2 linked regions of the Nothobranchius furzeri genome follow. The protein of the gene in region 1 binds, or shares a complex with, the protein of each later gene. Links are inferred from orthologs where the notes say so. Each region holds a gene or a part of one and is shown in the gene's direction. Other genes may lie near its edges. The genes, in order: setdb1b and ubiquitin-conjugating enzyme E2 E1.

Region 1 (3,821 bases):
TAAATCTGAGGTGATGGACAGAACTTATTAGCTGGTCGTTGTTGAGAAGGTGTGATTAACACTTGTTGTCTTTACTTACACAGTCGTGGGCTGTTTAATAATTAAAACTGGGTATTAATCAAGCCCCCATAATTTGGGTTTGGATATGAAGCCAACACGGAGGTGACAAAAATTGCACTTCCACCCTCATCCACTAGGGGCTGGTGTCAGAAGCGAGCAAATCCTCTTTGACTCCCATGTTAAAAATACCAATTTCACAGCAGAAATAAACATGTTTACAGCCTGGTACCAAAACATGTTTTTTGTTTAAATGATCTAGTTTACACTCATGACAACTCTGAGGGGGGTGAATTTTTTTGTCACTCCTCTGTTTAAGTGTATTAAAAGCCTAAAATTCTGTGGCCACAGAGCTAGCTCCGGGGAAAGGTCTCAGTAGAGCCTCGGCCTCGCCTGAAAACTGTTCGGTCATTTTCAGTCTCTCAACTTAGACCATTAGTTGTAGCGTGTGTGCGTTCTTTTTGGATATTATTTGTACAATTGTTGGACAAAATGACTTGCTGTGGCATTAATTGCACTAACGGAGCGTCCAAGGAGTCTCCACTTAATTTTTTTTGGTAAGTAAAATTATATTTATGTATTTTAGGTCACTGCCGAGCTGAGCTTAGATTTTAACACGTACTGTTTAACCATGAATTTTAAATGTAATAGGGTAAAACCCAGTGCATTTAACATAATGCTGCACTTTAGAAAATGGGTTGAAATATAACATGTTGGTGGAGCTAGGTTCCGACTATCGGTAGGGTCCCCTCCCCTCAGCGGTCAGCTTGGCGCATCTCTGATCGCAGCGGCGCTTGTCTGCTGCGCGGCTGTCGGCTTGTGGAGCTCTCGGGAAACCTCTGTGCTCCACCCGGTTCTCCCCAGCAGGGGCGGATTTAGGACTGAAGAAGATCCAGGGCTTAACACGCACGCACACACACACACACGTGACACGCACTAGTCAACATCATATATATTACAATTCACAAATATTTTCAAATAAGACTCACAAACCTGAGTCAACACCAGTCTCATCAAAGCTGGGGTTCTGTCGCGGTACTTTTGGTCTAAAAAACCTCCTTATGTCCATCTTCACTCATGCGTTTCAGGCAGAGAGTGTAGAAGAAGCCGGCTGCTGAAGGGCTTCTTCTTCAGTGGTGGAGGCTCAGGCAGGCTGTATACAAACTACTGCCAGCTGCTCCCTCTCTGTTGGACTTTGGTACTGCATGTTACTTCCACGTTTTAGATCTGGGGCTTGAGCCCAAGTAGCCGGGCCTAACGCCGCCCCTGCTCCCCAGCGGTCAGCCCGGCGTATCTCTGACTCAGAAGCTCCGGTGTTGTGCACAGTTAACTCCGGTTGTAGCTAGGTAGCTACCTCCATTAGCTTAGCTCCCACCACCGCATTTAGCTTTGGGTTAGCTTGTAGCTACATCGCTTCAGTTCGACCGGGTGTCGTCAGTTGATCCCAGCCTTAAAGCCACACCCTCAGCTCCACCTCTCTTGCCTTTTGTGGAATTGTCTGGGCTTGACGGAACCTGTGACACGGTCAAAACGGTGGTGGTGGCCACCTCCCATTTTGGCGCAAAAACTTATTATTGGAGCCTATGGACACGAATTGTCCAGTATATATGTCAATGGTATTAATATTATTCACAAACTTAAAGAAGAAAAGCTTTTGGTTCTGATGTACGCAGTTTCAGTCAGCTGTTATTTAACGTCTCAGGTCCTGCACCTCAAATGGAGGACGAGACAAACTGCGCTGCATTTGGGAAGTTGAGCTAAGGATGTTAGCGTGTCATTAGTTTTAGCATCATTAGCGTTCTCTGTTGACTCAGTTAGCAACTGAATACATCACGTTTTTTCAGTAAAAAGGAAAATAATGAAAACTGTGATAAAAGAAAGGTCTATTTGAACTTGATTTAATTAAACTGGTTCACTTGCTCCAAGGCTACATCACCATGGCAACTGAATAACAGCAGTTCAGTTCCAACAGGCTTTTAGAAATAAAAACATTGAGATTCTACTAAAGCCATCGATCCGTGGACACCAGTAGAGCAAACGATGCTAGCACACGCTTATCAACAGCTGATTTTCTAGTTTTATATGATTTGTCGTGTTTTTATATTCAAGGAATAAGCATCAGATGGCAAAGAAGAGCACATCTCCATTTATCCCTGGGGTTGGAGGAACACATGCCTCCAAAATCTTGCAGACTTTGTCCCCCACTTCCAGCAACCTCAGGTAGGTTCACCTCACGATTAAATTACTTTAATGATGTTTATTTTTATGTATTTGTTTATGTTTTTATATACTCTTACTGTATATACTCTAATGATCCAAAATTAAAGAGCAAGTTGCCACCAAATCAACTTATTTTTTCTGATAAACTATATAAATACGTGTCTAATCGTGCTGCAGACACGTGTAGTCAACAGTTTTGCACTTTAGTGCATTTTAGTTAAAAAATTTTTTTTTTTTGCCTAAAACTGTCAGTGTTGTGCCGTTGTCAGGTAAAAACTCTGCACTTGAATTTTAGGTCTAGTCCATACGTAGCCGTTTTTTTTAAACGAATATCCGCCCCTCCAAAAACTTGCATCCACACCACCTCGTTTTAAAAAAAAACTCTGTCCACACGTACCCGGATAAATACGTTGTTAAGGACATGCCAGACCTGTAGGCGGCAGTACTTCCCCCGTTCTTAACCTCGTCCTTCGTCTGTGGTCTTCCGCAAGGAGCAGTAATTCCTCTTGCAAAAACAAACAAGCAAAAAGCGCTTGGACAACTGATAAAGCGAGCGCAGCTCTGAGGGCGTCCATGCTGTCGGCTAGTGTAAACACAGGTCGCACACGTGATGTCAGCATTTTTTTGTTGCGGAAAGTGGCGTTGCTTACCTTAAAACTCCGGTTTTGTCTGTCCACACGCAGACACCCAAAACGGAGAAAACGCAGATCTTCACTTTGGCCGGAGTTTTTAAAAAGATCCGTTTTCGTGTGAAAAAACTCCGTTTTCGTGTGGATGACAGACCAAAACGTAGAATAATATCTACGTTTTGGCAGATCCCCGGCTACGTGTGGACAGGGCCTCAATCTGCCATCGCTATTGGCTAAGAGGCACCCTGGAACGTTAGCTGGTACCATATGATGTCACAGTGTCATTGTGAGCCTGTGTGTGTGTGTATTTGTTAGTGGCTCCGCCCTCTCGCTCTGCTAGCAACAGCATTTGTTGCATTTTTCAAACAGGAAGTGGGAGTGGAGTAATACTCTGGTAGGGGGTGACCTGCTCTGTAATTTACTTACAATAACCTATGAGAATTCCCTTTTTAACACACCAACCTCTATTCAGTGTTGTACCTTACTGCCACCTGGTGGCGGAAACAGGTATCTGTAATCTAAAAATCTAAATGAGGGATTTTTAAACGCAAATAATCAGGAAATTAACACAGAATAAACTTTATGGATTGTTTTGCTAATTTCTTGTAATTTCTGTGATTAAATCGTGTTTATTTCTAACTTTATTGAAAACCAACAACTTTAAACAAAGAAAACTGATCAAATCCGTTCAGATTATGATCTTGGGATGGTTGCTGTATGATTTAAGTTATGTGATTACCTTTTTATATTTGTCTTTTTGTAAATCCACAGCGGAAAAGTGATGGCTATTCCGAATGCCTCTACGTCCCAACCCTCTGTCACCGTTTCCTACCAGAGACAGCCCTCTGTGGCTCCTCCCCCTCCACCTGTGACCCACGCCATGGCCGTAATTCCTACACAGCCCGCCTACCGAGC
Region 2 (4,262 bases), about 13 Mb from region 1:
CAGCCTGACGGTGGCGGAGGTCCAGACACAAAGAGTGGGTAAGTTTCACGAGCGAGATGAATGGTTCCGTTCAAGCGTTTAGTTCGGCATTGTGAAAATCTGCGCTGATTCCCAACATGTTTGCGTTCCCAGCTGATGTTGATGCGCGGCGACAGAAACGAGAAAAAGAAAAACAAAACGCTCGAGGTCGAGTCAGCAGCAGCACGGGGGGAAGGGCTGCGTCTATGTGCTGGAGCGGTCCTCTTTTTCTCATTCTTGCTTCAAACCTTTAATTGTTACATTTATATGTGTCTTAATGCCAAAGGCAGCGGTTCACAACGAGAGCTGACAACACAGCCGTCGTCTAATTTCACGTTATTATTGTTTTATCCACAAAGACTTGAGGCCCGAGTCTTCGTTACCAGTTAAGTTTTTTATGAAGCGGGGAGGACTAATGCTGGATTACTGATAGTGCTCACGAAGAAAGGTGATTTGAAGAAACATATGGCGTGTATATACCATCAGACACGTTTTAATTTATAGCTTACGATACAAAATTACCATATTTAATGTTAACCACGAGCTAGCTAAGGCTAAAGACTGTTAACCGTAGCGGAAAGCGTTACCTAACGAAAAAAAAAACAGAAGGCGAATCGCTGTGAAATCTCGCGAGAATCCTATCTCATGTCTGCAACATGAGATCAAAACAAACAAGCTAGCTAACTGATGTGTAATGTTTTGTGTTTGCACCATGGTTTGCACATGATCACATCCTGGATTTAATTTATTCTTTCGGATGTAAATGTTTTCAATATCTTAATTTTTTCTAATTTTATTCAGACTTATATATATATATATATATATATATATATATATATATATATATATATATATATATATATATATATATATATATATATATATATATATATATTGCTGCTAGGCTATATCAAGGAAAGGTGGTGCATAAATGTTTAGAAAATTAACATTTTCAAATAAATAATTTCCACAAAAACCTTTTAAAAAATAAGACTGTTTTCCCCATTATTAAGCACTTGGTTTGTTCATTTTTATTCCAGCTTGTTTTGTTAATCCTGATAAAAACCAGATGTTTTGTTTTTGTCAACACTACACATTTGAAAATGTGTTCAGAAACATAAACCTCCCAAAAGGAAAATACTATTACCTACCTTTATTCACAAGTGCTCCACATTTTTGGGTTACTTTCACTTTTCAGATTTCCTCCCATTTCTCCTCAGGTTGCGGCTCTTCTCCAATCCTAACCGGTATGTCGGATGAGGATTCCCGTGCCAGCACCAGCTCATCCTCATCACCACCTTCCTCCAGCCAAAACAGACACAAGGATACAGCTTTCAAGAAGAAACGGGAGAACAAAACCAGCATGAGCAAGACCTCCAAGCTGCTTTCCACCAGCGCCAAAAGGTTAAAAGAAATCTGTCATACAGCAATGGGCAGATTATTGTTGCTCATTAGATTCATGTCTGTTTAAAACCCCTTAAGACAACAATGTTGTTTACATATAAATATGTAACTTTTAGTAGCTGCTGATGGCAGGATAAGCTCAGAAACATGAGTAAACGACAGTAGAATTTGTTTTCATGACTTCCCCTTGTGTATTTATTTAACAGTGAAAAAAACACATTGATGGTCAAAGAGGAACTAGTTTAATTTGTGCTTAGGCGGTTGCTTCTATAAGCCAGAGTAGTGTTGTAAACCATGTTTTTAAGGAAGTACCAGTTTCTTCTTCAGTAAAAAAAAAAAAAAAAAAAATCTTCACAGTTTCAGTCTCATTCAACATTCTTTTCTACAAAAACAGTCAAACAGCATTAAGGTGTGTAAGTTAGTTTTCTGATGCCATGTTAACTAGATCATATTTATTTTTAATCACTTTGTTTGATTCTGAGTAATTCCACCTCTGATCCTTCCATCAGTAATTGATTTTTGTAACATTTGCAGAATTCAAAAAGAGCTGGCTGAAATTACCCTGGACCCTCCGCCAAACTGCAGGTGAGTTTACGGTTTTATGGTTCTTTATGTACTCACCAGCACGACAGATCAGAGTTTTGTCCTGATATTGGCTGATCCAAACTTCCTAAATGTTGAAACAGGTAAAATCATTATTATAGGTCAGTTCACAGTTCCAATACCCACACTGCACCCTGTGTCTTCTGTGAAGTGCGCTTAGAGGAAGTGTGCAGTAAGGCTCTGTGTGCTGAATTGGGACAGTGGCCGTTGCATCATCGACCACTGTGCATGCAGGGATGCCGGTTGCTGTTTGTGCTACTTTTTAAAAAAGCTTTATTAACAATTTTTAAACAGTTGACACAATTTACATTCATTGCTGTTCACATTAAATTTTAATCTTAAACATTCAGTAATGATATTTATTCATATAAATATCATTAGTCGTCTTAAAATGAACTTCTTTTGTTTGAAAATACATATTTTCAAATAAGGCACTTGAGCCATTGTTCAGTCTTTTCAAAATGCCTTCACAGCAATGGGTTGTGGGTAATACCCTTTGCCCAAGTCCGCATCAAGTGTGCAAAAGGGGTGTGGTCAATTTCCGCACTTGAGGATTGGTACACCTTGTGCCCCTGGACAGGAATGCGCAATTGAAGGGCACAAGGGTGGAAGTGTGAGTATTGGTATTGAGCCTAACACAACAACACTGGTTGACTCCTGGTTTCACAAGAACATGTGTCTAGAATGAGGAGGCGGGGCCAAGCTGGTGAGGCTGTGTTGGGATATTCCACGTCCTACTGATTGTCCCTCACAGGGGCCAGTATTACCGTGTTTTCACTACAGGAGTTCAGGGACACTTCTGGGAGAGGGAAAATTCTATAGCTCTGTCCTATCAGCTGTTTCTCCAACCAATCAGCAGAACGTAACAACAAGTCCCGTCCAGCGGCACTACCGGGCCTTTTCCTCGTACTTGCTCCAATTCAGGTTCTAGGTTGGTTCCTGAAAAGCTCTCAAAAGTGGCCCTATTGAGTCGGCCTGGTGAACGTAACGAAGGTCCAGCAAAATGACCCAGATGTTCCAAAAAAATGAAATGGGCCTTCTGTGTTGCTTTTTCCTGAGTACCGTGGGAGAGTTGAATCCAGTGAAGAACTGAATTCCAACAGCAGAATAAAGCAGGTTTAGATGGCACCACCTACAGTAAAGGTAACTAATCAGGCTTCCCACTGTTATCAGATCTATTACCATGAAGCTTCGTTGCAATAAACAAAATTATGTGTTGTCTCAGTTTGAGTTACAAATAGTTTCTTTTTCCTGAATGGAAATGTCAAATACCAAAACATTCAGTTTAAATAAGCAGCTGTTCTTCCAAGAGGAACTAAAATATTAAAACAAATGCGTTTTCATCTGAAGATCTGTATTTACAGCTGTAACTGAAAGTTGAACTTATTTAAAAAAAAAAGCTTCCTTCCTGGTACTGAAACCAAATTTATACTTCTCCGTCAGCTCCACCAGGGAGAGAGACGCACGAATGGAGACGTTTTGCCCCCATACTTCTCCGTCTCCTGGGGAGTGTTACAAAGCAATTCCCCACCAGGACAATAGAGGGCGTAGCACTGTTCCGTGTTATCCGGTCCAAGATGGTGTTTATATTGTGTTTTTTGCATTTAAGAATGGCCAAAACACACACACAAATGCCCTGGGGCCTCATTTATCAAGCTTGCTTACGCACAAAACTGGGTTGGAAAACTGTGTAAGCAACTTTCAATGCAAACTTTGGGATTTATGAAAGAGAACGTAGCGGGAAAATGTGCGCAACTTTAAGTTGACTAAGGACCTGGCTTACGCACATTTTGGACATGGAGAGCACCTGCAGTGCTGCTGCTGAGAAGGGTTAAAATTATGAAATCCTGCAGCATTATCACTTGTACCGCTTCATTTTCACACAGAACAAGAACCCCCCCCCCCCCCCCACACACACACACACACACAGAGAGCCTGAAGCGCAGAATACGGAATGCAGAATATCATCGGGGGACAGATTGAGACAGAATGTCATGCGTAGGGCTGGGAAAAACGATTATTTTTGTAATCGATTAATCTAGCGATTATTTTTTCGATGCATCGATTTAATCTAATGATTAATTTGTTAATTTGATTAGATTAAATTATTGATTATTTCCCAATTATTTGACTTGTATAGCAGTTTCATTATTACTAATTTATGTATCTCAATGAAATAAATGCAAATTTCTTCATTTGAACACACAAATTCAAAAATAAAGTTGTTGTAATAGTAG

What was found.
Region 2: the proteins of setdb1b (region 1) and ubiquitin-conjugating enzyme E2 E1 are in contact, whole or in part, in a crystal structure (PDB 8IYA), measured with the Homo sapiens proteins. The link is inferred for Nothobranchius furzeri from reciprocal best matches to the Homo sapiens genes SETDB1 and UBE2E1. Residues at the interface, in NP_001138887.1 of Homo sapiens: Glu868, Gly869, Tyr870, Glu871, Ser872; in NP_003332.1 of Homo sapiens: Asn125, Ser126, Gln127, Val129, Cys131, Leu132, Lys136, Asp163, Pro164, Leu165, Val166, Gly167, Ser168.

The regions. Positions count from the first base shown.
Region 1 is NC_091745.1:76,230,610-76,234,430, forward strand, and holds part of setdb1b (histone-lysine N-methyltransferase SETDB1-B), read left to right. Parts: intron 1-2,166; coding exon 2,167-2,277; intron 2,278-3,677; coding exon 3,678-3,821. UniProt on the Homo sapiens protein: Histone methyltransferase that specifically trimethylates 'Lys-9' of histone H3. H3 'Lys-9' trimethylation represents a specific tag for epigenetic transcriptional repression by recruiting HP1 (CBX1, CBX3 and/or CBX5) proteins to methylated histones.
Region 2 is NC_091745.1:63,675,600-63,679,861, forward strand, and holds the start of ubiquitin-conjugating enzyme E2 E1, read left to right. Parts: upstream 1-1,267; coding exon 1,268-1,422; intron 1,423-1,956; coding exon 1,957-2,007; intron 2,008-4,262. UniProt on the Homo sapiens protein: Accepts ubiquitin from the E1 complex and catalyzes its covalent attachment to other proteins. Catalyzes the covalent attachment of ISG15 to other proteins. Mediates the selective degradation of short-lived and abnormal proteins.